Oryzias latipes: one gene and its partners. The protein of the gene in region 3 interacts with the protein of the main gene of each other region in a biochemical or structural test. Links are inferred from orthologs where the notes say so. Each region holds a gene or a part of one and is shown on either strand. Other genes may lie near its edges. The genes, in order: eme1, tubulin beta-5 chain and sumo2.

Region 1 (11,321 bases), on a different chromosome or scaffold from region 3:
AAACTTTAATCATCACCATAAAGCTCAGCAGCAGCTCAGTCCACACCTGGGGGGGCCCTGGAGCTCAGTGAAGACAGACGGGACCTTCAGCTTCACGGTGAACTCCAGCACAAGTCTGGACGTCCTCCACAGCAGAGCTTCCTCTGGACCGCTGCTCCACTCGCATCGGAAAGTCTGTCATTTCAGCCCCGGAGTCCTGATCCCCGTCACACCTGATCCACCAGCCTGAACTTGGCCTCCTGTTGGACGGGCATCACGTTGATGAAGGTTTTGTAGAGCACGGCGCCTTTGGGCAGTTTTGGAATGATGGCGGAAGCCTCGGGGCTGCGCGGCGGTGGGATGTACACCTCCTTGGTGAACCTGACGTGCCCGTCCTCCAGAGCAAAGAGGGTGTTGTTGGTGCCCATGCCCACCTTCAGAACAGAGGAGACAGAACCAGAACTGATGCAGGGTTTCCATGGAAACGTCCTCCAGCTACAAACAGACCGACTGACCAGACTAATAATATTTAGGATTATTTTCCTTTACGTGCACTATAGGAAACAAATCTAAGAGAGTTTTAAATCAAAATTCAACAAAAGCAATGATATCCAGAAGAAATATTGACTTATGCCTCTGAACGTTATTGTTATTACCTCACAAAAGACAAGACACACAATGGTTAGAGGAGTCGATATCATTAGAAAACTGATGATGTCAATTCTCTAAAATGTCAACACTGGACTTAAAGCTTTGGTGTTGAAGAGTTAAACTCCAGAGCTTCTGATGCAGCCATCTTTGTTCCATGTTGTGCTTGTGTACGTTTGTACTGGTTACACAAACTTACGTGCGCTCCTGGGTGAAACCTCAGCTGCCTCTGCGTCGCCAGGATGTTGCCGGCATGAACAAAGTTCCCTGAGGAAACAGGAAGAAGCGTCAGAGCTCCTTCAGGAGTCATCAGGCCGTCACCATCAGACACACCGCTTACATGTAGTTTATTGTACAAACAGGCTCACTATCATCTTTCATGACACAGCAGTTCCAAACTAAGGGTGCATTCAGCCTGGGAAAACCGCTTGTTCCAGAGCCGGTCAGCTTCATTTGGTCCGGATGGAGCTCTGAAACTTGTGCTGGGTCTGTATTCAATCATTCAAACTTTATTTGTTGCTGAGCGGTTTTAAAGGTCTGTATCACTTTTTCCTGCTGCTGTGGTCCGGTAGAGGCTGCAGGCCGCTTACGGGCAGGAAGACGTCCTGGAAGCTACGCTGATAAGTGTTAATGATGCATAGATTGTTGGGAAAACAGGGAAAATCACTGTGGATCACGTTAAAAGTTATTTTAATGAGCCTGCATCTCATGGAGTTGCTGTGTCTCATCACAATATTTTATCAGAATTCTGTTAAGGAACTACAAGGTAGCCTATAAGATGATGTCACAGTAGCCCTGGCCGTGTAACGAGACACAGAAAAGCATGTTTGAATGTATGAAAAATCAGATCCATTTTTGAGACAATGTTGTTCTCCATCTTTGTTGTTGCTTTTTTGGGCTAAGACTCGTTGAAATCCTATTTTAACAGAGAAGAAAAACCTTTATGTGGGAACACTTTAAGCCACAATGAACCGCCTTTGAGCGAAACCACGAGACAGAAGCTTAACTTTGAGTTCAGAGAAGAAGAAAAGGAACCACGTTTGTCCACAAACACAGTAGAGGACGAGTCTGAGACGGACGGCTTTGGTTACCGTCTTGTTTCTTGAAGCCGTATCTGCGGCCGGGGCTTTTTCCTCCGACGTTCTTGGAGCTCCCGCCTGCCTTCTTAGAGGCGAACCGAACCGAGTCCAACAGAGACGACTGAGCAGAAATCAGGAGACCTAAAGCAGGTCCAGAACCACAGATCCGTCAGCAGAACAGAGCAGCAAAAATGGAAACTATGGTGACCAAGTCAGAACTGATCCTGCTCCAGAACTGATGTTCTGCTGTGTCTGGAGGAGAAATTCACATTAATGGGGTTTTTAACTCTGGATTCTGCCGTCAACCGAACATACCATTATTTAAAACTATTTTTATGAACTATTAATAATACAGTTTGCATTTTTAACAAGACACAGAATCTGTTTGTGAAGTTTAGGCCATAAACTGTTCCAGGATTACATTAAAGTTCTGTTTGCGTTAAGTTTGAACGCATCGCCACAGATCAGCTACATTTACAGTTATTACTGGATACCCCAGTATGCTGCAAGTTAGTATTTTATGCATTTTGATAATCCAAACATAATATCTATTGATCTACAAACGTTCCAATAAGAGACATAAGTGGGAAAAATAAGAAAACAATAAATAATGTTATTATCTGTTTAACACTGAAAAAGACCAAATTGAAAACAAGATTTTATAAATGAGTTGAATTTTTTAACCATTAAAACAGGAAGAGGTGTATTATTTAGGCTTCAAGGGTCCCGCTGGATAAAAGTGACATCACAGATGACACAATATCTAACTATGCTAGAAAAAAACAAGAGTTTCTGTGATGAATGAAGAAGGTTGCTTTAAACTTGGGCCAATAGTCCATGCAAGACCATTTTAAGACTGATAAAGCAATTTAAAAGAAGGAACTTAATAGATTTTAAAAAGAAAGATATGTTATTTAACACAACATCATAAGATAATATAGAAGACAGTCCCATAGTCTCTTGTTGTGAATATGTTATTTGTTGTCAGGTTTAAATTCTCCTACTTTCAAGCTAAAGCGAAAATTATATTTGCTTTTTTTATTATTATTCTCTGGACAAAATTAAAAGACTCTTCAATTTACTGTAACAGGTTTATCTCCATCGTGTGGTCATGATTATGATCGTCAATGTGCCAAATTCCACCTTAATAAAAATCCTCCTTAACCATCGAAAGCTGGCTTCTGTGTCACAAAGGGGCTCTAATGAAAATATAAATGGCAACTCAGAAATTGAACATAAATTGATCATATTTAGAGTTAACACAAACTGCTAACTTAGAGAAACGTCGCGCGGCTCTTTTCCAGGTTAGCATCATGTGTCGCGTCTTTATTACGTTTTACAATAACTCAAGCCCCAAAATAAGACAAACAGACGTGATAGTCATCTGATAGTTATCTCTAAAATCTCTCTGGCGTGTTATATGCTTAAAAATAAGGACCCAGTCAAGCCATACCTGCTCTTGACTTGAAACTCAAGGACGCTAACGCCGCCATCATCACAGACGTCTCCTTTAAGTCGACCTCAGTGCGTCACATCCGCTCGTCTGTGTTGCATTCAGGTTCCTCAGAATGTAGGACTTTCTGATGTTCGCGAATTATTCAATATACTGTCGTATTCGAGTATTCCAAATTGAAATATGGTGTATTTAGAATAAATTCTATTTATGACTATTGTTACTATCTAAATTATTTAATTTCTTGCATTTTGTGTGGCTCCTGGAGACAACCGTGAATGTTTTTTGGTGTTTTATAAACTATGAATGAGATACTGCTGAGATCTGTGGTTCTTTGTTAGTACAAGAATCGGTGTCTTTTGTTAAAGCAGCAAATCTTATCTGGGACATTGTAACTCAGTTTTTAGTCTTCATCCCTGACACATTTATGATGCAGAACACCAGTTCAGAACATGTTAAATAAATTGTCTCTGTTAAAGAGTTCTTCAGCATATTCAAAATTAAATACCCTTCTGTAAAACCATTTAGAATATATAATTACTAAAACAGTACATGGATGCGTTTGTTTTTCTATTTTTTCACATAATCTAGGAAATCCTGTTTTGCTTAACGCGTAAGCATCTGTCAGTCTACCATTTTTCCACTTGTCAGAAGCTCCTTGTCTTCTATACTGTTGTTTAACAACTAAAACACAAGTGTGTTAAGACCACAACTGTAATTTCCCTGCATGGTTTGAGGTGAGCGGTTTTAGTCCCACGGGCATTGAACGCAACGCCACCCCGGTAAATCAAACGTAAAAGGCGCGAGTTCAGCCGGCAGTGGTGGGTACTGGTTACAATTTTAGACAGCAAGCAGAAGGCGTTCGTCCACGCAGGGAATGAGAAATCACTGATTAGTGCCGCCAGGACCCGGATCTGAGGCCGCGAGCAACTAACACCTGAGGCCGCGAGCAGCTAACCTGAGGTGGGCTAACCAACCAGTGACGGCAGGTCTGCTGTGGGGATAAAGGCTGCGTTTGGTTTCGAAAATAACAAAGTGGAAAAAGCTTGTGTGTGTCTCTGTGACACTTATGATAATAATAAAAACCGAACGCTCTGATATTTAAAACAGTTAAAAGTGTCCGAATTCCCACCCTGACCTCTAAATAGTGCACTATAGAGCATTCGCTATTTTCTAGTGTTGTCTGAATCTACAATTCCAGAATCCAGTGCTCCGGAAATTTCCCAGAAGTCTCTGCGAAACGCCAGTGTGCATCGATGCTCACTAGATCGACTAATATATACCACAATGCATTGCGTCGGAACAATTTTTGCCAAAAAATATGTATTTAAATCTATTTTTTAAATAAATTATGCACATTTTTATCTTTAGAAGACAGTGGACTCATAAATAATCGTCGTAAAACGCTCAAATTAATTAGATTTTAACTTTATGAAATCGATGACGTCATATTCACCTTAAAAAAAGCAGTGAGTATAGTGTTTGAATTGCTTTTAAAATTCAGGGCACTACATAGTTTTTTTTTAGTAGTTAAGGGTTATGGAGGGAAATTGGACAGAGCCAATTGTTATTTTAATTCCTAAAAACTTTTGATTTAAGCTTTTAATTTATTCGTCTAAGATTATTTAAGATGTTTATATTTGGACATAAAAATATTATTTATCTAGTCGATCAACCTTTTCATTGTTATATTTTTCTGGTAAATGTTGGAACTTCAAAACTTAAATCAAGGTTTTTATATCGTAAAAAATAAATGGATTTTCTCCTTCTGACTATCTACATTTTATAGACTTGAAAGGGATTAGAAGAAAAACACATCTGCTGAAACTCCTGCTCTGGTTTCTTCTGTCTGCTGAAGGTTCTTGTTGGTTTGAAACCTGTTTTAGGTTCTTGGGTGTTAAGTCTGGACCCTGAACCCTAGACCCTAGACCCTAAACGCCTCACTGTCACGGGATCGGGTCTTTCAGGGACTTGGAGGCATGAGCAGCTGCAGCAGCACTGACCTGGATGAGGAGCTTCCGCTGTTCGACTTCCTGCAGCCGACCCAGCGCTGCATTCAGGGCTCTCCCACAGAATCCGAACAAGCGGCAAAGACTAAAGCCGGTGTTCCTCCCGGAACGGCAGATGTCATGATGATAAGCAGCGATTCAGATGATGATTACGCACCTCTGGCACAGAGACTCAAACCCAGCAGTGATCCCTCCTCTGTGTCCGGCGGGAAAATGCCTGACGGTGGATTCTCGTTGAGTCGATCCAGCTCCTGCCAGAACGGCGTTGTAGCGGCTGGGCTTCCTCCTAGTGTGAGACGGGAGGAGCCTCAGAGCTGTAAAACCTCTTCTGCCTGGAGAAATCTGACCAAGCGGCCAACCGAGGAGATCCAGACGTCTCTGGAGGAGGCCCTAAGGAGGAGGCAGGACAAGGAGGCACTCAAGCAGGAACGGGAGAAACAGAAGGCAGAGAAGAGAGCTGTGGCGGAGGCTGCCAAAGCCCTGAGGCCAGAGGAGTGCATCAAACACATGGTGGTAGCCGTGGATCCAGGTGAGGAGCATCTGAAAGAGGTTTGATGCTGGCAGCAGGACAGGATTTAGCTGCAGAGCTTCTCTCATGCTCACCTTCACAGCACTCCTGCAGCTTGAAGGAGGCGGGGCTCTGCTGGCCTCGCTGCAGGCTCTGGGCTGCAGCTGCGCCATTGAAAAGCAGCCCCTCCCACGCAGCATTAGCTGGATGAGGAGAGCTCCACCTGCTCAGGTAAGAAGACCCGCCTCGAGCCACCTGCGATGGATGGCGGAGTGAGACGTGGCCTCAGAATAAAACCAAAAACCCAAACAGAGTTCCAGCTCCTCTGGAGCCCAGCTGGGGGACGCAGCTTGTGTTCCTGAGACCCCCGTGGTGATGCAGATGACGGTGGAGGACTTCATCACTCTGATCCACAACTTCATCCAGGTGTGTTGCAGCAGATGGAGAGCCTGGTCACCACTAAAGCACAAAGGTTTTCCTACAAGCGGCTAAAATTCAAGTTTTCCACTGTTCTGGTTGGAGTTGTGTGTTCTGGGCTGTGGAGCAGATGATGCTCTGAGTATTTACAGACAATTGAGCAGAGATGAAATGATGGACAAAATTCCAGACATGAAAATCCAACCGCTACATGACAGTTTTACCAGGTAAGGTCTGCTGATAGTCATCAGGGTCAAACAGAACTAACTAAACCTTCACGGTTGGATTTTCACATCAGTTGAGACCAACAATGTTCTGATAGAACCCCCCACGTCTGATCCGGAGTGAGAAGAAGAAACGGTGCGGTGCAGGTTCCTTTAAATCCTTTTCCCGTTGGAACCAGGAACAGAAGGTGGGCCGCTCTGACTCGGGTCCCACGCTGACGGCCTGGGTGCAGCAGCAGCAGAGGCGTCAGCCCAGGAAGACCCTCAGCCTGGCAGTCATTGAGCTGGAGAAGTATTTCAGGTGGGAATGAAGCCAAAGCTGTTCTTTGGTTTCCATTTTTTGTATTTCAGGGCCATAGGGGGCAGTTTTTTCTGTATTTCACAGACCAGGTTTTAAGGCGCGTTGGCACGTACCGGTAAAACGTGCCAATGCTAGTGGGTGTTTTAAAAAAAGGCAGCGGGAGCAAAACTGAGTTGGCTGTGATTTATTTTATTTATTTTCAGTCATCAATCAGCATCCAAACATCCATCAAAGTCCTCATCTTCTTCCTCTGAAAAATCCCCATCCGTGGCAGTTTCTGTCCATCAGCACGGCAGCCAAGCACAACAGTAAAAGCCCCGTTATGCGCATCGCTGCCGTGCTGCTCCCCTTCTTCTCCACAGTGTGACTCACCAGGATGCCAAAAGTGAGCGGCGCCTCGTCCCAGCTGGTGATGTGGCTGGGCTGGATGTTTGTCGGCAATCTTTTTGCTGCAGTAGCAGCGGAAGATGGACAGCTTTCCGTTGTGATCTCCTGGAAGTTGCTGCACCACCATAGTCCTTGCCCAGATGGAAGCATGGCCCCCTTTTCAGAAAACCTCCTAGAAAATGTTCAATCTTCCTTTCCTCTGCAAGCGTTACTGCCTTTAGTCGAATGGTGACTGTAGAGACGCTCCTCCCAGCTGTTCTCTGATCGTTAATCCATCGCTGCAGTCCGTCTTCCGTTTCCGTGGAAACTCAGCTGCGTCTTCTCGATTGTTGGAGTTCGTTTTCCAGCTTCCTCCGCTTGTGAACCATGGATTCATTCATCTTGAATTCTCTTTCAGCTGCTTGATTCGATAGCTTGCAGTTTAAACTGTGCTTCATAAGCGTCTCTTTGCATTTTTAGGGTTTCCAAAACAATGTTGTTCTGCATAATGCACATACCTGCACTTTAGTACCATTCAGGGGGGTGTCTTCTTCCACGTCCTCACTTCCCTCCTCACCGTCCTCATGCTGTCCTCTCCTACGTCCTCTTTACCCAACTTAGCATTAGGCCACCAAACCATAGGGGTCTCTGTACATTTTGGAGAAAATGTAAGACTTTTAAGTGCGCCTTATGGTCGTGAAAATACGGTAGTGTTAAAGACGTCAGTTACATATTTTGAAGGTGAGTCATGGCACGAGGACTCCAATCTTCTTTCCCCTTCAGACGGATGAAGCCACTCGGATGAGTGGTGAGATTTTAAATGCAGATGCTTTGACTCAACTTTCAAGACATCACCTACGTGTCAGTTAAACCTTTTCTAGAATGTTTTTCAAGAGTTTTTTCTGCAGCACAGCAGGTGTTCGCCTCTGAGTTGTCAGCGTGACGGTTGGCACAGAAGTAACCCTCCTTGTCTGCAAGTGGATGCATCAGAATGGAGCGGAGCAGGGAGACGTTGGCCCGCCTATTTCAGTTGCTGTGTAACAAACATGAGCTTTTTCCAGACGTGGGTTCCTCATCCACCATGATTTGGATCAAGGAAAACTCAGAAACGCAGTTTTAATCTTCAATTATTTGACACAAGTCCTCCATCGTGAGAAAATTGGCACAAGAACTCGTTAAAAAACAGCAGTAGCACGCTTTTCGTTGGAATGGGTCTTTAATACACTGAAAACTGGAGCTTTTCTCCAAAAAACCAAATCGACCAGCTAAGAACTTTTTAAATAAAACAACCAAATCAGGAGTGAGTTCAGGAGATTCCTTTGATTTATAGGTAGCTGTACACATGACAGTGCTGTTGCTCCTGCTGTTCACCTTTGTTTTAGAACAGGCGGTTTGCTTTAGCCGTGTCCTGGGGGAGGATCCCTCCTTCATGTGGACCCCCCTGAGCTTTCTACGTGTTTTCTTTTAGGAGGGTCTCCGGGCAGAGATGCCAGTTTAGTTTAGTTAGTTCAGTTTAGAATCTTTCTATTGAAGTGTGTGTTCATGATCCTTTTGATTCGATGTTTTACTACATTTATCTGCACAAAGCCCATTGAGACGACTGTTGTTGGGATTTTGGGCCATACAAATGAAATGGAATTGAATTGAATTGGTTTCTGCTCCTCTTGGCCCCTGTAGGGGCCACTGTAGGGGCCACTGTAGGAGCCACTGTACTTGCAGGAGCCCCACTCTGCTTCCTGTAGCCCTGCTAGTCTGTTCTGAGCCATTCTCCTCTGGACTTTGAGTTTTCTTTTGATTTAATCAAAGGTTTTAGACAATCTGCAGTATTATTGACTTACTTTCAAATATGGAAAATAAAATAATTAATCTTTTATAAGGGTAGAAATGATGAAACGTTTTGTATTCTGTGTTTTACTGTGAAGCACTTTGTGATTTTCATCTTGAAAGGTGCAATATAAATAAAGTTTAGTATTATTATCAGTAACTATAGCTAAACAATAACTTTTATTTCTAGATCACAGAAATCTGTGAACCAGAAGAAGTTTAAAGCGGCCGTGAGGAGTGAAACATCAGCAGGAGGAGGAGCTAAAGAGAAGAGGAAGAAGGGTGGGGCTGAGGCTTTGCCCCAGGTTTCCAGAGTGCAGGTGGAGGAGGTAGACTCAAACTCAGAATACTTACCGCAGAGCAGTGTTTCCATTCCTCCCCCATATTTTAATAATCCATTGTTTATTTTTTGGACACAAACGAAAACCTTTTCCTAATTTAACCATTTAACATCGGAGACGTCACCGGCGACGCCTAAATAACACGTTCCTTTACGTACCGTAAATCCTCCACCGTTCATGAACGTAGATCAGGTGATTCTGACACGCAGAAAAGCGGCTCTGCAGCAATGTGAGCTCATCATCTCATTACTGAGGGAAGGTGATGCACATCAGCAGAAAGCTGCTTTTCTCCGCCTCAGAATGATGTTGATTGTCCAAACGGTGGAAGAGTTATGGTGATGTAAGAAAGGAAACACTGGAGCTTAAGCTGTGCTGAAAGAAACAGACAATTTATAGATTTACTACATTGGAAACTTTTCAGATGTACAATTTAAGAAAGTACATATTTGGGGGGTTTTGTTGTATTTTTAATGGAAATCAGAAGAAGATTTCATTTGTATTTGTAACTGTTGATGTTCAGTCTTTCTGTGTTATACAGTATAATATACAGTATGCTAACAGCTAACCTGCTGTGTAATAATCATACAGAAATGTCTTTCATAGTTCATTTAAACAACTTTTAAAACATTTGATCATTTTTCCTGAACTTCTGAAAAGTTTCTTTTTTTAAAGCAAACTAACATTTTTTCTTTCAAAACTGAAAGCTGGCAAACATTTTTCCACCTTTTTCAAGCTTGTAAAACAGAACCTGTGATTGTGCAGCGTGTCTGGCGTTGCAGACAGGAAGTGAGGCGGCATCGATTGATCTGTGGGCGCAATAAGCTGACCGCACTGCTTATTCCGTCCCAACAGGCCGTGGTTCACCTGCAGCTTCATGCTGGCATCTCAGTCCACTTTCTGCCTTCATGGAAAGAGTTTGCCGACTATATCGCCATGACAACGAAAGCCGTGGCGGAGGCGCCCTTCAAGTGAGCCGTCTCCCCTCTGTGCTGGTCACCGATGCTGCGGCGTCAGTCATTCCCCGCCATTGTCCTTGTTTTCAGGAGGGAGAGGGAGAAGACCGGCTTCTCTTTCTACCTGGAGAGCGAGTGGGCGGGAGGCCATCGGGTGGACAGAGGTGGGAGGGGCCTGCTGCAGGTGTGGAAGAGGCAGATCCAGCAGTTCAACAGAGTCAGTCCGGACATGGCGGCGGCCATCCTGGCAGCGTATCCATCGCCGCAGCTGCTGCTGCAGGTTTGAACACAACTGCATGAATGCAAACGCTGTGGGGTGTCTTTAAAAATTCCAACATCACGTGTCACACATCACGTGTCACACATCACGTGTCACACATCACGTGTCACACATCACGTGTCACACAGCCAAACACACATTTAGTGCATCATGCACAGATGAGAACTGGTCATAGATGAATATTCGTGGACAGAGGGAGAAAAGTGAAGGTCTTAACGTGAAATTTTCACAGATGGATCACGAATGAACCACACAAAGAACAAGTAAATCTAAGGAATGGATTCTTTTTTGTCTTTTTACGTTTGTAAGAATGAAAGTGTTTTGTAAATAAAGGTATATATGATTGAAGAAGAAGCTTTCATCTAATCAGCTCCTGTGCTTCATTTCCAGTGTGTATTCTCTAATTCCAAAGAGTGCAGTTTGAATCCTGGCGTGGGCTTCGGTTCTTTCAGGACCTGAATGTTCTCCTCCTCATCCTCAGGCATACGCTCGATGCCACACTGAAACGGAGAAGACGTCTCTGCTGTCCGACCTTTTGATCCGCAGAGGTGAAGGGGTCACGTCCACAACCCGGAGAGTCGGACCTGAGCTTTCCAAACGGATCTTCCTCACCATGCATTCTCCAGATCCAGAGCAGACTCTGGATTGAAGCGTCTGAACGCCGCTCTGCTCCTGAGCCGCTGCCTGGTCGTCACGTGAAGAGCTTTGGCTTCAAGATTTCACTCTGATTTTTGTGTTTTTTAATTAAAAGTTTCCCAAACTCTACTTTCATGGACTACATTTCCCTTCACTTTCAAACCCCTGCTGTCTCAGGAAGATAAGGGTGCATTCAGACTGGGAAAACCGCTTGTTCCTGACCCGGTCCGCTTGATTTGGTCCGGATGGAGCTCTGAACCTTGGGTTTGGTCTGCATTCAGACTGCCGTCAAGCGGCCTTTCT
Region 2 (10,365 bases), on a different chromosome or scaffold from region 3:
ATAAGTGTTGCTCTAAGATTTTTAAGCTATGTAAAGCAGAAAAACCGGTGGTGGTGATATGGACACACTACTGTCCCACTTCTGAGCTTCAGTGAATGCATCACAGTTTGAAGATGAATGAATATGATTTGTGTATATGACATCACAGAACCCTGAAGATCTGAATCAAGTACAAACAGTCTCACTTCCGGTTTGAGGCTGGTTTTGGAGTCAGGTTAGTTCATCAGGTTAGTTCATCATTGAAAAATCAAGTCACTCACTAAGAACCATTAACTCTAAATTAAAACAGTCTAGCGCAGGGGTCTGCCACAAGCCCCCTGTGGCTCTCTGATTAGAGAAAAATACAGTTTTTAGTTTTAAGTTTGAGGCGGTACAGCTCAGTTGGCTGGGCCGAGGACTGTTGTGCAGGAACCTGGGTTTGCTTCCCAGGGTGAGCAATGAGCCAAAATTCAGTGTGGGTCCTTAGACAGGACCTTTTTGCGCTGCTGCCTGTCTGGGATAAGAAAAAAGGAAAGTAGCTCAAACGTTTTTCAACTCATTCACAAACAGTTGTAGGATACTACGCATCACTCCATGAGGCTCCTGATTATGGTAGCTGTGATTCTCCAACAATCCATCAATCCTTCATAGTTTACTGAAGGCGTACTAAATAGTGTAGCAGATGTTTGATCTCCATTTATCACAGAATATCTGATAAAAGACACTGGAACATATAACAGATTTTCTATTGTTGAAGAATTTGATTCATTGTGATGCAATTTTACTTTGTTAGATTTATAAATGTCTGTCAAAGATGCCCAACAAACAGTAAAATAAACTTTTTATTAGTAGAAAAAATGGCAAATACTACTACATTTGCTGATTTGAGATATGTAACACAGGGGTCTTTTATTTTGAAAGAAAGTCATTGAATAACTATCAACTACTTCAAATTTTGTAAAGTTATTTTTTTGTATGTTTAATGCCTACTTAAAAAAAACAATACTTCATCTATAGTTATCATAATAGTAACATTAACATAAATACAAACCAGTGTCTTATTTTTCTAAAGGGTGAAGTCAGACTTTGTGGGCTGTGAGAAATTGTCCTGAATGTCTAAGTGTTGAAGGTTGCAGACCCCTGGTCCAGCCTGTCAACAGAAACGGTTGCTATCTGATTATTTCTTACTTGCAATGACTGCTGAGGCGTGTTTTCATGAACTAGATCATCTTTGTATTCTTTGAGATTTAAAAAGGCCCAATCCCAGATTGGAAATGAACAGAGGGAGCAGAAAAACTGCATTTACTTTTTTTTTAAAAAAAGTCCGTCAGTCCTGCTCTGAAGCCGATGGGTGAAAGTGTTACTGTTTCCAAGCTGGATCTGCTGTGTGAAGCTAATTTTAGCTTTGGTGAAGGTAAACACGGGTGACACTAAGCAGCTCTTCAGTCATAGAGACTTAAATGAATTCCATTTATGGAGAAACAGTTGGTTGAATATTTGTTTGAGTGTCTCTGTAGTTTGAAATCACACGCTTCTGGTCTGGTGTGTGTGTGTGTGTGTGTGTGTGTGTGTGTGTGTGTGTGTGTGTAGGGGGGGCAATGACAGGAATCCTGGTAACACAGTTGCTTCTGCGCTCAAAGCTGCTGTTTGTCTTTATCTCCAACGTGGTGACGTCTCCTCCAGAGGTCCTGCTGTTGGCAGCCACAATGCTTCAGAAACACTAACACTGTTTTCACTCAAGACTCTTCTGAAAAGATGGGACCAGATGGCACAGAGACCTTAGTTTAAATCCAGCAGGTAAAAGTTTAGATTGAGTCTGGGAAAGGTTGGATTTCTCCTGCGTCTGAAGGAGCATCTGTGCCTCTGAAGGCTCAGGAGGGGGTCCCAGCTGCTCTTTGGATCCTGGCTTGGCCTGCAGAGCTCCACCCTTCTCCGACCGTCAAACTTCACACATCCTGTTGTGTCTCTATAGTTTAAAATACTTTGAAATGAAGCAGGCAGGAAAGAGTCAGTGAATGCACCATGAAGCACCAACGCTCTTGAGTCAGATGCTGCAGAAGTAACCCCCCCCCCCCATTCCCGTGACTCATGTAGTTCTGGGAAGTGATCAGCGACGAGCACGGCATCGACGCTGCTGGAAACTATGTGGGAGACTCGGCTCTGCAGCTGGACCGGATCAGCGTCTACTACAACCAGGCCTCCTGTAAGCGTTGGGGGTGGGGGGGCTGCTAGTGTTGTGTTTGACTGCGGTTGACTTTCTGACTTCTGTGTGTGTAGCACATAAATATGTCCCCCGCTCAGTACTGGTGGACCTGGAACCAGGAACCATGGAGAGCGTTCGGTCTGGAGCGTTCGGACAACTGTTCAGACCCGACAACTTCATCTTTGGTATGTTTGCTTTGTTCGTGTGGAGGGTTTAGGTGTCCTTAGAGAGGACAGCAGCTGAATGAATTTCTGATGACTAACGAACCAACACAGCTAGTTTGGAACCTGCAGAAAAACCTGCTGCTGTCCTCCGGATGTCTGCGCTCTGAATTGTGTTCTTTGTCTTCTATAGGTTCAGATCAGAAAGGTGAGTTTACCCATAAACTCAGGCAGCTAATTGTTTCATCGTCAAATTGTCATGCTTATTTTGAATAAAGTGCCAACATGAATATAATGAACACATCTGCATCACACTAGGTTATCCTGAACGACCTTATTCCAGAAAAGAGCAAAAATGACCATCTTCTTCTAAAATGTAATTTATATATATAATAAAATAATTGATTTTCTGTTATTTACAGTTCAGATCTGTGGTTAACACCACGCCACTGTCCTGGATCTGATTTAAATCCCACTTCAGTGTTGGCAGTGTTAAGATTACTGTTGACAGAGGTGGTGTTCATTCTGCAGGCAGATGGATTACATTAATAGTACAAAAAAATTCCATGATGAAACACATTTTCTCCAAAATGTCTGGATATTCCTCAGGGGAAAAAGTTTTTCTTTTCATATTTAAACTGCATGAACGGAGCAAGTTTAGCTCGTGCTGGTTTGCGGCACCTTCCGTCCGTGAAACCAGGGTTCAAAACCGGGCTGCTCCCTATTCCCTTCTCTGCAGGAAGAGCATCCGGCATAAAACATCGCCAAGTTAACCATGCGACTCATCCTCGAAGGAGAGGTTGTTTCACTGTGGCTGATGGGAAAAGCCAAAAGAGAAAGAAGATTTAAATTCTATGAACATTTTTTTTTCAATTGATTCCAATTGGTGCTCCTTTAATGTTCTAAATGTTTGTCACAGTTATTAGCGGCATTTACATGGAAAAAAGTAATCGGAAAGGACGCCTGATCGGAAGAAAAATGCGTCATGTAAACACACCGTTCGGAATAGTCTGCCCCGATCAGACTTGTTCAGATCAAAATTTCTTTCCAGTCGAGACAGGTGGGTTATGCCGATTGTTGATCCGATCGTTGTTCATGTAAACGGTTCATTCTGATCGTGTGTCACTTCTGCTCTGGTTTAACGTCATGCATAGACGATGTTTCGATCCAGAGAAAGTTTTGGAGCTAAAACAGGACTGACCGGTTGCTCTGCGGACGCCCGGTGCAAAGCGCCACTCCGCCCACACTCCGCTGGTTCTTCGCCTCTCCCGTCTCTTACACCCCTCACAAGGGGGTGCCGGGGAGGAGGGCTTCGAGGACCCTGCGCGGTCCGGGCTCGGGTGCCGGGGATGAGCGAACTGTGTTTCTGAGCAAAGCAGCCGTGTATAACTTGTGTTTGAGGGGAGGGGAGGAGTCTTTGTTACGTGTGCGTTTGTTACTGCGATCCGTCCCGCCGCTCTGGGTTGGCGGCTGCCGGACTCAGAACCATGTCTCCAGGTCACACAGCAGCTTTGGGGTGGTGTGTGAGCTTTTCAAAACAGAATGTCGCTCAGTCCTTAGAAAATGTTCAAACAATCACGTAGATTTGTGTTTCCAGTCGTGTCCTGACAGAATAAAAGCTGATATTATTCCCACATATTAAGTTTCAGCCAAGATGCAGATTGCGGCATTTCCCGCATGGATTTATGTTCATCAAAGGCTAAATGTTGTTAGCGCGTGTTAGCCTTCACCTATCCTAACCCTTCTACAAGCTCCGTTCTTTCACAAAAAAACACTGACCACACGGATTAAAAATAAAATGATGAGTGAACAGGCGCTTCATAATATTCATTACATTAATAAAAGCATGTTTGGAAGATCGTCTTGTATATTACAGAGCTGCTGCATAAATGTATATGGCAGCTAGGTTTGTTTAAAACAAGACTCCTTTCCTCTTCCGAGATTTTCAACACTACTCCGCATGCCCAAATGATTTATTCCGACTGAAAGTGTGACCATGTGAACGCTTCGGAAAAAGGTTTTCTCATCCCACGTGCACGGTTGAATTTTAATCTGACCATTGATCCGATCAAGATATTTTGTGCATGTAACCGCGGCTATTGACTGTATAAGAGAACTGGACTGAGCGTGACGTCACCTATAGAAAACGGTTTACTTCCGCCTCTAACTAAGTGAAGTCAATTCAGTCTACATTTTTCAGTGATACAGAGGCGCCACGTTTGAGCCTGACATTGTCCGTAAGCAGTGATTGGTTCAAGTCGGTCTGAGTCAACATTTCTCTGGGAACCACTCGCGGTACCCAAACCCAAAGTGCTTTACAGTCACAGACACATTCACACACACATTCACACACTGGTGGCGGTTGAGATTACCCACTCAGCTGTGATGATTAAGGAAAACTCAGTGTAGGCATCTGCTCTGCTAAAAGTTTCAGATTTCCCTCATGGATTTTCTGTCTGCAGGTCAGACAGGTGCGGGTAACAACTGGGCCAAGGGTCACTACACGGAGGGGGCGGAGCTTGTGGACTCGGTCTTGGACGTTGTGAGAAAGGAGTGTGAGCACTGCGAATGTCTGCAGGTGAAACCCTCTCTCTAGAGTTTTTTGTAGAGTGATTGGTAACATTCAGCTGGTGGGGTGGGGGGACTGGATTAAGTACTGGGTCTGGAATGACTGGGCTTTGAGGGGAAAGGGGCCCAGCAGGGTCTCTCCCACTCGTGTTACCCTACAGTGGTGCAGTTGTTCAAGCCCACAGTGTGGCCTCAAGGAAAGATGTAGACGTAAAATCTGTTGGTCATTGAAGGAGGTAAATCTGAACTGATGAGATCCCATTAAAAAAAAGAAGAAAAAGTAATAAAAATAAAATTGTATTTTAGTTGTAAAAGTTATTATATATTATTATATGTAAATTAGAAGTGGAGAACTTCAGGCCTTGAGGGACATGTCCTACTTTCTTTAACCCTTGTGCTATATTGTGGGGTCAAAATGACCCCACCCTTCCATTGACATGTTTTCCCTACCATGACAAAGGTGGACAAAGGTGGAAACATTTCATGTAATCCATGGAAACCAGTGAAGATCACAAATCATTGAAGAAAAAAGGTTCAGAGCACTGTCTAGTGGGTCCAGCTGACCCCACTCCTAATGTCAAAGTGCCTTGGATAGCACAAGGGCTAGAGATGTTTTTCTCCTGTTGTTGACAACCTAAGGTTGCAGGGGTTGTTGACTTGTTTTGCAAATTAATTAATTAAAACAGATCATTTGGATTTTACTCATCGACTGTGTATGAGAACTGGAGCGAGTGAGTGTGACATCACCTAAAGAAATTGACTAACTGCCAGCTCCAACCAAATGAAGTCATTCAGTCACCAGATTTTCATGACACAGACATCGCCATGTTGGAACCACATGTGGCCGGTAAGCAGTGATTGGTCCGAGTCAGTCAGTCCAATAGAGTCAATGGCTTTACCACATCACTGAAAGGTTCACATATAAATAGCTGTAATTTGTCTGCAGGGTTTCCAGCTGACACACTCTCTGGGGGGGGGCACCGGTTCAGGCATGGGCACCCTGCTTATAAGCAAGATCCGAGAGGAGTACCCCGACCGCATTATGAACACCTTCAGCGTGATGCCGTCACCAAAGGTACCTCCCCTCTCTGAAACCAAACTCTGTGATTCTCCTCCATGTCCTCTTCATCCTCATCTGTCCATCAGGTGTCGGACACGGTGGTGGAGCCCTATAACGCCACCCTGTCGGTCCACCAGCTCGTAGAAAACACAGATGAAACCTACTGCATCGACAACGAAGCCCTTTACGACATCTGCTTCCGCACCCTGAAACTCACCACGCCCACCTATGGCGATCTCAACCACCTGGTGTCAGCCACAATGAGCGGCGTGACTACCTCGCTGCGTTTTCCCGGCCAGCTCAACGCAGACCTCCGCAAGCTGGCCGTCAACATGGTTCCGTTTCCCAGGCTGCACTTTTTCATGCCGGGCTTTGCCCCTCTGACGGCGAGGGGCAGCCAACAATACAGGGCGCTGACAGTACCTGAGCTCACCCAACAGATGTTTGATGCCAAGAACATGATGGCGGCATGCGACCCCCGCCACGGCCGGTACCTGACGGTTGCCACGGTCTTCCGTGGACCCATGTCCATGAAGGAGGTGGATGAGCAGATGCTGAACATCCAGAACAAGAACAGCAGCTACTTTGTGGAGTGGATCCCCAACAACGTGAAGGTAGCCGTGTGCGACATCGCACCGCGGGGGCTAAAGATGGCCGCCACCTTCATTGGCAACAGTACAGCAATCCAGGAGCTGTTCAAGAGGATCTCGGAGCAGTTCTCCGCCATGTTCCGGAGGAAGGCCTTCCTGCACTGGTTCACGGGAGAGGGCATGGATGAGATGGAGTTTGCCGAGGCGGAGAGTAACATGAACGACTTGGTCTCAGAGTACCAACAATACCAGGAGGCCACAGCCAGCGATGGAGAGGAGAACTTTGAGGATGAAGAGGAGGAGATCCAGGACTGAGGAGCTGAGTCATACAAAGCAGAAGAACCAACGTGATGATTCCAAAAAATAAACCGACAAATAAAAAGCATTTCTAAATCATTAAAAAAGTCTTTTTTAAGTCTTGTTTTAAATTTTAGCATTAGGACAGCAAATTGATATAATAAAGATGGAATTTTCTTATCTATTAAGACCAACAACATTATTGAGCAACCAACCAGTGTCCACTTGATTTTATTTTTATTTCTGAAAAACAGTGATGACTGACGTGGAGCTCAGAACCCTGGAATTGTTATGGCGGGGTTTCCTGAAGGGGCAGAATAATTGGGCGATAAAAGTTTTGTTGAAAACCTTAAACTGTTTTGTTTATTATTCTGTTTTGATATTTGTAAAGGGAAGAGCGGTTTGGTTTGAAAAAAACCTACATGACCTTTTTTTGCCTTGACACTTTTTTTCCTCTTTTAAATTTATTTCAGTGTGCCATTTCAAACTTTACAATTTAAAATTTTTTTTCTTGAGGTTAAAAGGTTTAAACAAAACTGTTGTAAATCTAACTGCAAACTAGTTCCTATTGAAGCTTTTGTGCTGAACGTTGGTTTAAACTTGGTGTTCCTGGAAATACCAACCTGAATGTGGAGCTTTAAGTTGAAAGGCATTTTTACTGCAGCACCATCAGAACCCGTAAATCCCCGGCCTTCATTTCACAGCAGTTCTGTTTGTGGGGGGGGGATTATGAGCCGAGCGGCGGCAAATCTTGCTGCCAAAGACAAAATCAGACAGTGGATCAGCTCTTTGTGTCTGCAGCGTTCATATCGCATCAGCAGTCGCTTCAGCTCCAGCTGAGGGCTCGGTTTGTGGACTGCTGGCAGAGCCAAAAGACAAAACTTAACTGGAAAACAAACCATAAAAATATCTTCTTCATACTAATTATTCTAGATATACTTAATTCTTGATTAGGAATTCAATCTGCAATTTAGTTGAGCAGTTTTTCCAATTTCTGATTCATAATATAAAAAATGAAAACTTGGTCTTTTTCATTTATAAATAAAACCTTAATTTCAATGTAGTGAAATTCTACTGAAAATGCATTTCGCATGTGTTTTTAAAAGGCATTTTACAATTCAATCGAACAAGTGAGAGTTAATAGTCTAATTAAAGCTAATCCCTCTGCATTTGGTGGATTTGTCAGATTTAATATTTATTTTTCACTTGACTTCAGAGGCCAATCAGAAGCTCCTTCATTGTTTTCATGGTGCCTTAACCTTGTGTCTGCTAAGTCAGCTTATTTATTAAGCTCCAGGTAATAATTTAGGTCATCTGAAGGTGTTGCACAGAAAGCAACCAACACCAAACCCAGTTAATTACTTTTGATTGTAAAGATCCATTGTAGTCCAGACATTTCCAATAAGGTGATTTTAGTAATGGCAAAGTGACCTACAGATTACAGGAAAAGATTTTCTGTTTTTCCCACACGGAGCAAACAAAAGGTGACAGTCAAGAGAAAACTACAAAGGAATCTCCAGCTGCACTAGACTAAAATTTCAAATTTCTCCATCTCCTTTATAGCTCACTTTATATCTGGGGGTCATAATCACTGACAACAATTAACATCACACCTTTAACTTCCAGCCCCAACCTATCTGACCCTCCCTTCACTTCAGAACAAACTCCTCCTTCAGGATCTTTTTCTCTTTCCATTTACACCATGATAAAACATCTTGAAGCTGCTTCCAGTCTAAAAACTTTGATCTCTTTCCATCTGGTCTGTGAAAACCCATCTTACCAAAGTTTCTGCTCTAAGTTCTTCACTCCTGTCTTTCTCTCTCGGTCTACAAACTCGTTTTGGTCTTCTCCTTCCAACAAAAGTCCAACTTCCACCAGAACACTATTGATCAACAGCACCAGTTGTTGTTAACTCAGGTCACGGCTGATCCATGTGAAAGTTCTGTTTGTGATTAACATGACTGATGAGACTTTGGTTTCAGGTCAGATACCCTTCCTGACAAAACTCTGCATTTACCTGAGCTTGGACTGGAGCATGAAAGAACTGGACTGGGCCCCCTTGTGGTTGGATTAACTGGGATCTCTGGATTCAGAGGCCAGTGCAGGGATAGACAACCCAGGCCTCGAGGGCCGGTGTGTCTGCAAGATTTCCGGAAATGTAATGGTATGAAATGTGAATACCATACATTAGCACAGAGCATTATGTCAGCTAAATGGAAAAGCATTAGTGATGGGAGTGTCAATACCAAGGTATCAAAATACAGATTCCCGAATGTCACCAAGTTTAGTTTAAATATTAAAGTATTGAGATGACCAATGGTTATTAGGTGAGATATTCCAGCATTTAGTGCCAAAACACACCCCACCTACAGCATATTGAACAGCTCCACGAGTCATGGGACCAGACGAGCCACGAGCAGCACAGCATGAGCAGGCGATTTTAGAAAGAACACTTGAATTTTGAACCTTTCACAATAAAGTTATTGATGGTATTTGTTCTTAGGATAACAAATAATATGCATGAGAAAAAACTTAACAATAAGAAACTACCAGTAATCTGTATTGCTACAATTGAATACTGTGTATCAAATCCTAAAAGTGTGTTATCGCCCGTCACTAGAAGCATCATTATTACCCACTGAACCTGATGCTGACAATCACACTGAGCTGTGACTGAGGGAGAACAGACCAACATGAACAGAGTTCAAAACATGAACCAAGACAACTAAAAGGCACAGAATGTCAAGAAAAGGTCGCCCTGCTTTTTACAGGCCAGAAGGTCAGGGACTTCTCTTTGCTGTAATGTACATCCACAATCACCAGGGGGCGACACAATTTAACATTCTAACTGTTTTCAGGTCCAGACTGTCCAACAGAGTTTACATCAGGGATGAAAGTCTCAGACCCTCTTCTGTTTTAAACGGCTGTGTCACAGCTGAAGGTGCTGCTGCAGCATCTCTAACACACTGCAGGAGAGGCAGCTCCCTCTAACGAGCCGACTCGGATAATTGGCTGCAGATAAGCAGGAAGTTATGAAAGGGAGATCAGTGGTTCTGTTCTGTTTACGAAATCCCGCTCTGCCATCGACCACTGAGCAGCAAAGATGTTTTAATTGGCAATTAGAGGAACAGAGTGGCTGCAGGATCCTCCTCTGTCTTGCAGCCAAGCTTTGTTTTTTTTTTTAAATCTTCTTGTCTTTGTGTTTCTGCATCATTGATCTCACTGCAGGTACAGCTGTTTGACTCTGTGGGCAATTAAGTGGACTTTTACAGGAAAAATGTATCAGCAGAGCCTCTTACTGTTTGGTTTTATGAGGAAAAATAGGGATAACTGAACTGATCACTGGCAGTGGCGCCTTAAAAGGGGGGAGGGCTTCCAGAAGAACTTCTGTTCAATCCATTCCCCCTCCGAAAGGGTCAGCCCTGCGACACACCGGTGACCCCGCCCTCAACGGTACCTGGGATAGGCTCCAACAACCCTGAAACCCCAAAAAAGATTGAGTTTGGA
Region 3 (11,304 bases):
ATCTGGCATCAAGACATCAAGCACGGCAAGCTGCTGCTTGAGGATATGAAATACCTGCATGGCCAACAAGTTTATTCATTTACACTTCAATATTCGGAGGGTTTTCTGTTTGCTCTAAACTGCAGTGAAGTTCTAGCCCAGAAAGCAAAAAAAAAATAAATAAAAAAATGGAATAAAAACCAAAAAATAAAAGAAGTAAATGGCCTGGTTTTCGTTAGAAATCAAAGAGTTTCTTAACCAAAATGTGAGTGTTATCTTGTTCTGGTTGCATTACTAAGAGAAAAATAATAAAAGAAATAAAATGAAAATAGGTAATAACAGAATCACATCATGGGTCTTAAACAAAAGAAGCCTAAAACATATGTGCTCATTTCTACAGAGATTCATGGCTTATTGATCAAACCCAACAAAAGAACCTCATGAATGTTTTAAACCTAATACATTAATTTAGAGGCTGCATTGATTTAGTCAGACCAGCTTTGGAACAAGAACTAAAAACTAAGGAAGTCCCGATCCGATTCAGAGTCATTTGATTTTGAGTATGTACCGATACCGAGGCCTGATCCGATATTATTGTAACACATAAAAAATGATCAAATGTAATGAAGTCAGGTTATCACAGATTTTTACTTTATTCACTTTCTTTAATTATTTAACACTTAAACAATTTGCCGCTGTGAAATAACTCAAAGAATCAAGCAAAAGTCGTAAAACTTTCAACTACAAAGAACAGTTAACTATAAACTAGTAAAAAATAGGAAATAATTATTCATGGGAGAAAGTTTGGTGACTGTAGCTTTAGTATCCTCAGAATTATTGAACATTTTTGGTTCTTATGTGATTCATACTTGCATTAAAAAGTCATTAAAATTAATGATGACTGTCTTTTAAAATTGTTGTTGTAACATAAATATTTATGAATAGCTCATATCAATGTAACCATTTATCAGTTTTAGTTTTTTTTAAATGGATTTCTTTTTTTTTTTCATTTTTAAATAACTTTTTCCCAGAGCTTTCACCTTTCACTGCCGACTTTCTGTCAGCAGCACGGAGAGAGCAATTCTCATTAAAAAGTAACCAAAGCTCGATCCCTTTTCTTTTTAAACGCCTTTCTAAGTTGTTGTTTGAGTTGAGACAATGACACTCGCTGTCAGTTTAAAGTGCTCATTTAAGAATTATTGAGCCTGAAGGTCCAAATCTGTGAATATCTTGCTAACCTTCTCAAACTGTCTTTCAGCGCCTCCTAGCCTCATTGTCTGCTGCACTTTATGGCAGTAAAACGTTGGGATCCGGTCAGAATTTGAAGACATCTGGTAAAGTGTTTATCTGTAAAGTTAAGATTGAAATATATAATAATGATAAAATAAATATCCGAGTCCTGATCTGATCGCAACATCGGATTCCAATCGAGTTTGAAACTACGTGATCACATCGGGACACCCCTGCTAAAAAAGATGAAAGAAATATTGTTCAGCCAATTCATCAAGATTTGCCTAATTTATGTTGCAAGTATTTAGCATAAATAGATAGATATAGCTAGCTAGCCTACAAATCTACTCAACAAGCTATTTATCTACCTATCCATTACTTTTATCTTCATCCACCCATATAAAGGATTTTTGTTATAACACGTTTTTGGGATAAACTCCACTGGCAGCAGGTTTTGCATATCATCAGTCCTACCTGTGCAGGTGTGTCTGTCTCATTTATTGGCTGTCCGTCGAATCTGAACCTTATTTGCCTCATTGAAAGTCCCTGCAAAGACAATACTTATTAATTTGTAGCAAAAGGCCTGCTTTCCGTTAGAGTGACTGGAACACATTTCCTGTTCATATACATAAAAAAAGCAAAAATTGTGTGGTTCTATTAAAAAAAACAATACATGTAATAAATGTATTTATTCATAGTTAATATACTAATTAATATGTATAATGTCACATGTTATGTATTATTAGCACAGACGTGAGACACTGAAGGAAAGACTGTTTTCCTACAACAGGTCAGAGTTGATTCACATTACACTGACAAACACACACATGCTGTGTCATACAGAGAAAATCAAGCTGTAGATTAAACAATAATTCAGGCTTTCAACTATTAGAACCTCATTTAACTTATAGGTTACATTTTCAGTGAGTAGAGAGAATCCCAGATCCTAAAGGGATAAGATAAGGAGTTTTTTGTTATTATTTAGAAAGATGTGAAAAGATGTAAACATTTCATGGTAATCGAGTTATAATCCTGAAAAACAACAGCGTTTATGAACCCGTTCAAAAAAAACAAAGCAAAAAAAAAAAACTGCTGCGGCGTTTACAAGCCAATACAAGAGCTACGAGCAATATTTTATATTTGGGTTCAGTTAGCTCTAACTTTTTTATAACTCAATTAATAATTCAATGAAACACACACATATATAACATAGTATAAAAGAAAGTAACAAAAGTCTCACATAAGATAATAAAAATGTAGAATGCATCATCAAATTAATATTTATTATAAATAAATACCTGACCTGCTTTAAATTCACAGACTTCCTAATTTTAAAACCCATTTGTATCTAAGCGATCATAAGTTGTTGTTTTTTTTTCCACAATACTTTTGCTTATATAGGGATATAAAAACATATTCCTTGGGTAATACAAAGTTTAAATGATCTAACTACTTTTTAACGAACCTTTACTTTTTGTATAAGCGTTGTGATTATGATAGTTTTCCTGAATCGCCACCGTTTTGTGTGTTTGTTGTCTAATAGGGGATTATACTTACCTGTCTCTCACAATATGCCTTCATAAGTTTGATGAGCGGTGTGTGTCTTTTGATCTTGAACTGCACGACAGATCCATCCTGACCTGCTACCTTTAGATTTATGTGTTCGTTATTTTCAGTCTTCACTCCTTCCTACAAAAAGAAATAAATAAATAAAGAAATAAATAAATAAATATTGTAACGGTTTAAGAAACAACAAACAGGACAGGTCATTTTAGACACAAATAACAGTGGTTCCTTGCATAACAAATACCCCACACACAAAAAACTATCTGCCTTGGATGCCTGCATGCCTCGCAAAACAAATTAACATCACGTAACGAAGCCTGTTTGCAGCGAACAATTGATTTTCTGGGGGAAAAGGCCAAATCCAGACAGTTGTGTGCCGTGTCATTCAGATGAAGACTGTTACCCTTCGGTGCAAGGCTCGGTACAGTGCTTAAAAGCCGCCAATCATCCCCATCTCCTGGTTAGGTTATTGAAAACAAACAGACTGGACGCCAGTGTGATGGCAAACCTGGGCATGTTTGTTTTTTCCTCTGTTACACAATGCAGGCCAGAGCCTCTGGTTGTGATAAATGGTACAGACCGTCCTCTGGGCAGGACCACTATGGCAACAGCAGCCAGTCGCACCAAAACTACATCGCATGTGGGATCATAATCGCCCACTTACTTGTTGGTGGCAGGTTCCCATGAAAACCACAAACACGTGTAAATAAAACCATAAAGGTGGTGCAGCAGGCATTAAGAAGATAAAGCATGTTTGCCCCCATTTGGTTTGGTTTCTTCTGGTTTTTCTTTCTTGAATATTCTTTTTTTTAATACTATTTTTCTTTAAATTTGTAGAACGGATGACATGATTTTCCAAAGTCGATGTGAAATCTGGCAATGTGTGCAACATCGCCACAAAAAAGAGGAATAATGTAGGGAAATAAAATTTCCAGCTCCATCAAAAGAGCGCCGACAGGTGAGACGGACTCTCCTTGAGTGGCCTAATATTGAGTGGAGAATAGGTCTGTTCTTTAGCTTCAACAGGTTGAAGTTTCTTAGTCACCCTGGCTGGAAGAACTTAGCCAAAGTCTGTTTCTCCTCCATTTTTGAGTATGTTCCTGAAATGACCATGACCTTCAACAAATTCACTAGTCTGTAGACTTCAGTTTGGTTGGGGTGCCACTGAATGGACGTCTTGGTCCTACTTCTTAAGTGTGTTCTTGATGGTGATGGAAGGAATTGACCTTTTGCTCTTCTCATCTTCTGAGGAGAGTCATCCCCTTCTGTTTTTCCTTAATGGGTTTGTGTCCAGGAGGTCTTTTCTCCTCCTTGGTGATGCAAGTTGGGTCACTTCTTCCAGAAGAGGCCATTTTTGCTTCAGTTGAAAAGCTGATGAGGGCTGTGGCCTTCTTCCCAAACTAACACCTGAAATTCTCCTGCAAACCTCTCAGCAGCAGCTTTGTCGGTCCTAGCTACCTCTCCGTGCAAGGCCACTCAAACAGCCTTGGATTCTTCTTCTTCTGTTTTAGCTCCTTCTGCATTTGTACTTCTTTATTTCTTCATACCCTGACTTTCTCGCAGATGAGCTCTGCCTCCGTCTGCCTCTCATCTTCATCTCTGAATAGTTTTCTGACCTCGTTGCTGTTCCCCCGTGGTCATACAGTTCGGCAGGACGCACCTTGAACGTCAGGTGCAGCTCGATGGTTTCTTTCTTTGTTTCAATGCTCAGAGCTTTTCTGACCATTAACACACCTATTGATAGGAACCATTTTTCTTGGGGTTCAACATTCAAAATTTAGAGACTAAGAAAAAAAATTAAGAAGACCTGTCCTCCAATTAAGAAGACCTTTAACTTAAGGAAACACGATCCAAGACACACAACAAGTCACACCTATGTACCTGGATTTAACCATTCTGTTGTACCAGAAAAAAGTTAATTTAATTTATTTATTTACAAAAAAGGTTCGTTTTGTGAGGCAAGTGGGTTGCAATGTTTATCATGCAGATTGTTTGTTCTATAGTTCTTTATGTTTGTCAGAGTGGAAAAATAAAAAGATAAAATACCAGAATTACCAGGGATAGAAACATAATTGTAGGCCGTATGAAAAACAGATGCTAAAAAACACGTATTCATTGTTAAATATTAGTTTCAAGTATTTGAATATTTTATTTTTGGTATCCAGTTGTTATAACCCGTTTTCTTCAACGAGTCAAGCCAAAGTGTTGCAGACTGACTAGAACAGTTTAGTCTAGAGACTAAATACAAACAGTTCGTTTTCTTGTTTATTTTTTCCATTCTGGTGCGTCATTACAAAACACAGACAACTTAATTACCACACAAACACAACGCAAGAAAACCGCAAGATTTATAGAGAACGACACCAGCTGGTTGGCGGGATGTAATCAGCCTAAAAGCGACGTGCGCGCCAGTCCATGCGCGCTCACATACCTTCCGGTCCATCAAAGTAGGTACAGTTGAATCTTATCACTTAACTTTTTTATTTAAAAAAATACGAACAGCACACGCGGGAATGTAAATTCACCTTTAAGATCGGCGATCCAGTTAATTTGTAATAGCATCGTAATTGACAATGGGGTCACTTACCTTTGGTTTTTCATCAGCCATCGTCACTCTTTTGGCGCTTCTCTATGCTACCACACAAAGAATATGAGTGCGCGCACGTACTCGTTCCCGTTTAAATTATTCGGGGAAACGTGCGCGGGCATGTGTCAATGCGCGTTCACTGAACAAGGATTTAATTGGCCGCATGAAGTCACGTGGACTAAAGCGCAGTCTAGTTATGGGCGGGAGACTACCGCCTGCGCGTTACAGAGATACTCGGCTTCACATGCACGCGCACGGCAGAATTTTTCCCTTTTGTTTTTGGTTTAGGTCTATTATATACGAAGGAAATCTGTTCATCGTCACGCCGAAGACTAGTATCAGTGCTGCACGTTTCATAAAGCGCCCATATGATCGGTATTAGATGTACAGCGTGATATATTAGTACTCTCCTTATTTTAACCCCTCATTATAGCCCAGTGGCCATCTTGGTTTTTCTTTCTTTTTTTGTTACAATAAAAAACAGGCACCGACTAAACGACAACATTTACCGATATGGCGATATATTTTCTAAGATAGCTAACTTATATAACGTTTTAATGTATATTAACAATATGATACGATTGTATCTTCCTGATTCTGAGAATATGTTACACGTTTTCGGAATAAAATTACTTCGACTTTTAAATGTATATCGATTCTAAAGATAGTGTTATTTGCTTCAGTCATGTCAGTTTTCTTGACGTAGATTAAAAGTAAAAGAAAGTACTGTACTTGCAAATTTAAAAAAACAAAAAACAAAACAGGCATTAAGTAGGACAGTCCTACATTTGACGCATGCGCGAGATAGTCGTAGAAAAAGAGAGGCGCGCAAGCGTTGCTATATTATAGCACGTGTTAAATGGCATGATTAAGGTGAAAAAGTTCATAGTTTGAAATTTAAAAGGATCTAAAAAGTTTCATCCGATGGAGGAGGTAGACGTTGAACCGACGATAACCGTAAGTCTTTCGTACTATGTAGTTTATTGTTATGCGCTATCGAATAGCAGCTAACAAGTTAGCTAAGCATTTTGAATTTTGTAAATCCTAAAATTCGGAATAAAAAAATACACTAGTAGTTAATGATACAAACACAAAAGTTTATGATGAAATGTTACGGACCGACATTACGAGTTGGAGGTTTCGTAGCTAAAACAATGTCACAGTTGACATGTTCTTGGATATAAAGAAACAAACTTGGAACAATGGTTAGAAAATCAAAATGTAACGTTATTTTTGTCTTCTACGTTTTGTTAAGTTATTTTGTGCTTTGTCAAACAAAGAAAGGTAAGTCTTTTCCTGGACATTTTTGAGTCCAGTCTCTGTCTTAATGTCAAGGTAAATAAATATCCTGTTGCATGTGTCCAATGGATTAAAACTAAGAAAGGCAAAAGAAAACCATAAGAGTGTTGGTTGTAACATTGCAACTAATAGGCAATAAATCGAATGTTGTTTGAAAGCCAGGACATTTTAAAATGATTTTATTTTATTTAAGCTTTGTTTAATAGGGACAGTGCACATTAATGAACATCTACCAAACAATGATTATAGGCGTAAACATGCTGGATTATAGCAATGATGCTAATTTGCATCCCTAGTCCCTAGGCAGGAAACATAAAACAGGACAAAACAAAAGACACAGTCACAGATACAATAAGAACACAAGAAAGTGGTACATTATGAGAGTTAAAAGTCAGTGGTTACAGGACTGGTTTGCTTTCAGCCACTGCTTGAGCTGTGTTTTGAAGGTCTGTAATTATTGACACTCCCTTATGTACAATGGAAGACTGTTCAAGAGTTTACTGGCCTTTACAGAAAGAGCGTTTTGTCCAAAGGCTGTTTTTCTGTGTGGAACCTCACAGTCCCCTCGAGACGAGGCCCTAGTCCTGAGAGCGCTGTGAGACCTTATTTAAAAAAAGTCAGACATGGGAGGCGGAGCAAGTCCATGTAACACCTTGTACATCAAACAAGCGAATTTAAAATTTTTAAAATTCTCAAAGCTCAACAACTTGTACTTTTTCAAGATATTACAAACATGGAATGACATTGGTTTTCTATCTAAGACCTTAAGTGATTGTTTTATAAAGTGATTCTATGGTTTTGCTCGTATTTACACCCGGCAAGGACCAACATGTAATACAGTATTCAATATGTGATAGAATCATTGAATGCAAAAACATTCTAGCAGCTCCAAGTGAATTTTTTTAATATGGCTCTTGAAGCTCAGAGTTGAATCAAGTGTCACACCAAGATACTTAAATTTAGATAGAATTTCTAGTTCCCGTTCTTCCAAAAATATACCTGAATGCTTGATGTCCACTGGTTGCTTAGTGAACATCATACAAACAGTTTTAGTTGTATTTAACAGTAAGCAAGATTTAGAAAGCCATTCATTTACAGGAACCAGAGCTGAGGTAAGAATAGAGGCTGCTTCTTGAATATTTTTTGCGCTAGTGAATATGACAGCATCATCAGCATACATTTGAAATTCAACATTACCACATGTGTTTGGCAGATCATTAATATACATAGAAAACAATAAAGGCCCAAGTATTGATCCCTGTGGTAGACCAACAGGGACATCTAAGAGAGTTGATTTGACACTGTTAATACAATCACACTGTTTTCTGAATTCTGGATATGATTTTATCCACTGAATTGAGTCCATAGAAAAGTTAGACAAAAGAATCTCATGATTCACCGTGTCAAATGCCTTATGATTGTAAAGAACGTACTTTTGCAGGATTTTCAGTAGATATTGATTGAAAGTCTTTTTTTTAAATATAAGGAAACAAAACTTAGTTAGATTGAATCCCAAAAAGCTTTGCTACAAGATAGAAATGGTCAAATAAGCACTTTAGTGATGTTCAATAATGTTCTATTGAATGTTGCAGAGATTATTACAATTGGAAATCTGTGTTATCACTCTCAATACAGAATATTCCTGCACTCAGAAGAGGAAAGCATATGGGCTTTGCATGGGGTCAAGGTAATATCTTTGTCTATGAGACCCTCTTCAAAGCAACAGGTATGTGTTAATTTCAGTTTCAATACTTTCGCAAGTCTTCTTGCTTTGTTTCCTTTCTATTGTCTTGTGTTTCAGGTGCAACAGGATCTGGTTCCCCCTTCATCCATGAAGTCCGGAAAGATGAAGACATCTACTCTCCTATTTTGCGCAAACTCTTTAACGAGTCGCATCACATTTTTGTTGGCTTGCAAACAATCAGGGAGGATCTGCCCAGCAAGAACAAGAAACCTCAGTAAGTCTCCTGATGAGAGACCGCTCAGCTTACACAAATAATTAGTTTTTATTGACATTTTCTTTTTAATTTTTTGATCAGTGGGATGACATAAAGATTGAAAAAGAAAACAGGCAAAACATCAACATGTAACTATTTCATGTCAAACAGTGTTAAAGTAAAAAAAAAAAACAATTCCTGTTTTGCTCTATAGGTTTGTCAGCATCAGTAAAAACTATAGATCTGTTATTCGAGCCTGTATGGAGGAGCTGCAGCAAGTTGCAGGTTAGCTTCTTTAAACTGAATCATGAAGTGTATCTTCGAATCCTACAGTGTAGTTTTTTATAATGGCATGTACTTTTTTGTTTGCAGTTTCCACAAAAAACGCAGAGATGTCCGTACAGTATGGAAACCAGGCACGTGTTTTTATTCTTTAGTTTCATCTTTTCCTTTTTAGAAATTGTGATTAGTTTAATTTTTTAACTTATTAACGTATAATAGTTTTTTTCCTCTTCTTTTTAATCTTTTTACTATTCGTAATATTTTTTTGTTTCCTCGGATGTGGATTTTAGTGGTCTGTAATAAATACAATTCAAATAATTTTGTGTATAATTTGTTCTTAGGAATTAAAAAATGTGTATTTTTTTTAATGATTTTTAAATCAACCAAGCAGACGTCGACTAGTTTTGATGTTATTTCAAACTGCATTTGTGAGATCTTATTATACTAGAAATGTCTTCTGTATGATCTTGAAACAAACTCTTATTCATGTCGGAGCTTGTTTATTTTGGATTTTTGCTTGTCGGTACAAATATAAATCATTACTGATCTTTTTTGTGGGTAAAGCTGTCATTGTGCCATTATAATATGTTTTAAATGACATATTTTTGTTGCATTTTAAATAGTCAGAGCTCATCTGTATTTTAACCCTTGACTCATCAGTAACATTTCTCTTAAATATTATTTAGTTCCTAATCCAGTCTGTTTTGTTGCAGGTCTCCATTCTTTTAGCTATAGAACTGATCTGGAATCTGTGTGAAGTCCTTTTCATCGATGCTGCTCCTGGTTAGAATCTCAGTTTTTAGTTAACAACAAAATATCTTTTATTATAACTAAACAAAGGCAAGGCTCCATAAAAACCCATTCATGATTGATGTGTGTTTTGCATGCTTTCAGCCGGCTCGCTCCTGCTTCACCTCCTGGACTGGGTGAGGCTGCACAAGGCTGACGTAGACGAAAAGGCTCGAGACGTGCTGCAGAGTGACAGCCCTGCTGAGCATCGAGACTACTGGGATGTGGTTAGTGCGGGACATGCACACACACGATCCGCCTCCACTGGAGATCTCTGAGAGTTTCGTTGTGCTGTGCAGGTGGTGAGTTATGTGCTGCAGGGCAGGTTGGACGAAGCCAGACAGATGCTGGGGAAAAAGGCCACCCTAACGCCTGCTGCAAACAACATCTACAAGATGATGGATAACTTACTCAGCAAGATGCCTTTTTACAATGTAAGTACAATGGGAGTTATCTGGTTTTAGTCTGTGGGTTAAGAATGACTTATGGTCATTTACCTGCCATAAAGGTTAAATCTAAGTTGTGGCCTCCTTAAGAGGAGTTTGCACGACGACTCCTGCATCAGTTTCTTTCTCTGTTTTGGCTGAGGGACTGGTGACCTGCCTTTAAATGTGTTCAAACACATAACGAACCAAACAATTTCAAAATGTCCATTTTCATCCTCACATGTATGTCTTCAGCCTGGTGGCACACAGACACTGACAGAGTTTGACGTTAAGTGGAGGCACTGGCATGAAGAGGTAGACCGCTGCTTGCAGGACAACTCTTTTGCTAGCAACCAACATCTGGAGGTCATCTGCAAGGTCAGTCCATCCGTTACTACTTTTTATGCTATCGTGTATTTTCAAAATGCTAACATTGTTGGTACTAATGTAGGCTTTTCCTAAAAATACGCCCGTTTCTGTTAACAGTTTTAATCACTTCAATTCTTGCTAAATCCCAATGGGCTGATATGATGCATGCTCAAATTATGAAGCTATCGCCGCCATGCTTCACTGTAGGCAATTTCTGGGATATTAAATGTGTGTTTTAATTTCTAATCTGGCACCAAAATACATTTTAGTCATTTAGCAGCACCAGATTAATAAATTGGTGCAAATGTTTCAACTATATGATATAAAATGTTTCAATAATTTCTGTTCTTTATTTTTTAGATCCTCCTGGGTGATGAAGACACTTTACTGGAGCACAAAGACCTCCTGGGAACCTGGTATCACTTCCTTGTCTCAAGACTGCTGTTCTGTCATCCCACTGTAAAGCCCACTGAGTTGCACTACTATGCACAGGTGAACTATTCTACAAAACTTGCACTCATGTCTGCTGCATCCAGATATTAAGTGTACCTGTGTGTTTTGCAGTCGTGTATGACCATGTTTCTGGACTCAAGGAGCGCACCAGAACCTCTGGACAGCATCTTGCTGGCTGCCTTTGAGTTTGACATCCATCAAGTTATTAAGGACTGCAGGTGCAACAATGGGACTGATGCATGCAAGTACACTTATTTTAAATCTACTTTAAACATTCAATTTCTTCCTTTTGCCTCAGCATCGCTCTCAACAACTGGTGGTTTGTGGCTCATCTGACAGACCTGCTGGATCACTGCAAACTCCTCCAGTCTCACAATCTACAGTAAGA

What was found.
Region 1: the proteins of sumo2 (region 3) and eme1 form a complex in vitro, tested with the Homo sapiens proteins (2 studies listed by BioGRID). The link is inferred for Oryzias latipes from reciprocal best matches to the Homo sapiens genes SUMO2 and EME1.
Region 2: the proteins of sumo2 (region 3) and tubulin beta-5 chain form a complex in vitro, tested with the Homo sapiens proteins (2 studies listed by BioGRID). The link is inferred for Oryzias latipes from reciprocal best matches to the Homo sapiens genes SUMO2 and TUBB6.

The regions. Positions count from the first base shown.
Region 1 is NC_019877.2:24,363,532-24,374,852, forward strand, and holds eme1 (crossover junction endonuclease EME1), read left to right. Parts: upstream 1-3,886; 5' UTR 3,887-4,122; intron 4,123-5,045; exon of another isoform or gene 5,046-5,126; 5' UTR 5,127-5,138; coding exon 5,139-5,697; intron 5,698-5,779; coding exon 5,780-5,907; intron 5,908-5,988; coding exon 5,989-6,102; intron 6,103-6,496; coding exon 6,497-6,618; intron 6,619-8,998; coding exon 8,999-9,137; intron 9,138-10,001; coding exon 10,002-10,117; intron 10,118-10,192; coding exon 10,193-10,382; intron 10,383-10,863; coding exon 10,864-11,031; 3' UTR 11,032-11,147; downstream 11,148-11,321. Other genes in the region: mrpl27 (39S ribosomal protein L27, mitochondrial), read right to left, coding at 207-413, 827-894, 1,719-1,847, 3,160-3,202. UniProt on the Homo sapiens protein: Non-catalytic subunit of the structure-specific, heterodimeric DNA endonuclease MUS81-EME1 which is involved in the maintenance of genome stability. In the complex, EME1 is required for DNA cleavage, participating in DNA recognition and bending.
Region 2 is NC_019878.2:4,236,771-4,247,135, reverse strand, and holds the end of tubulin beta-5 chain, read left to right. Parts: intron 1-2,073; coding exon 2,074-2,182; intron 2,183-2,256; coding exon 2,257-2,367; intron 2,368-4,805; coding exon 4,806-4,921; intron 4,922-5,857; coding exon 5,858-5,986; intron 5,987-6,057; coding exon 6,058-6,876; 3' UTR 6,877-7,042; downstream 7,043-10,365. UniProt on the Homo sapiens protein: Tubulin is the major constituent of microtubules, a cylinder consisting of laterally associated linear protofilaments composed of alpha- and beta-tubulin heterodimers.
Region 3 is NC_019866.2:13,017,967-13,029,270, reverse strand, and holds the start of sumo2 (small ubiquitin-related modifier 2), read right to left. Parts: upstream 5,402-11,304; 5' UTR 5,384-5,401; coding exon 5,363-5,383; intron 2,899-5,362; coding exon 2,767-2,898; intron 1,756-2,766; coding exon 1,684-1,755; intron 1-1,683. Other genes in the region: nuclear pore complex protein Nup85, read left to right, coding at 6,287-6,319, 8,297-8,387, 8,463-8,619, 8,813-8,883, 8,971-9,014, 9,594-9,663, 9,775-9,896, 9,969-10,103 and 4 more. UniProt on the Homo sapiens protein: Ubiquitin-like protein that can be covalently attached to proteins as a monomer or as a lysine-linked polymer.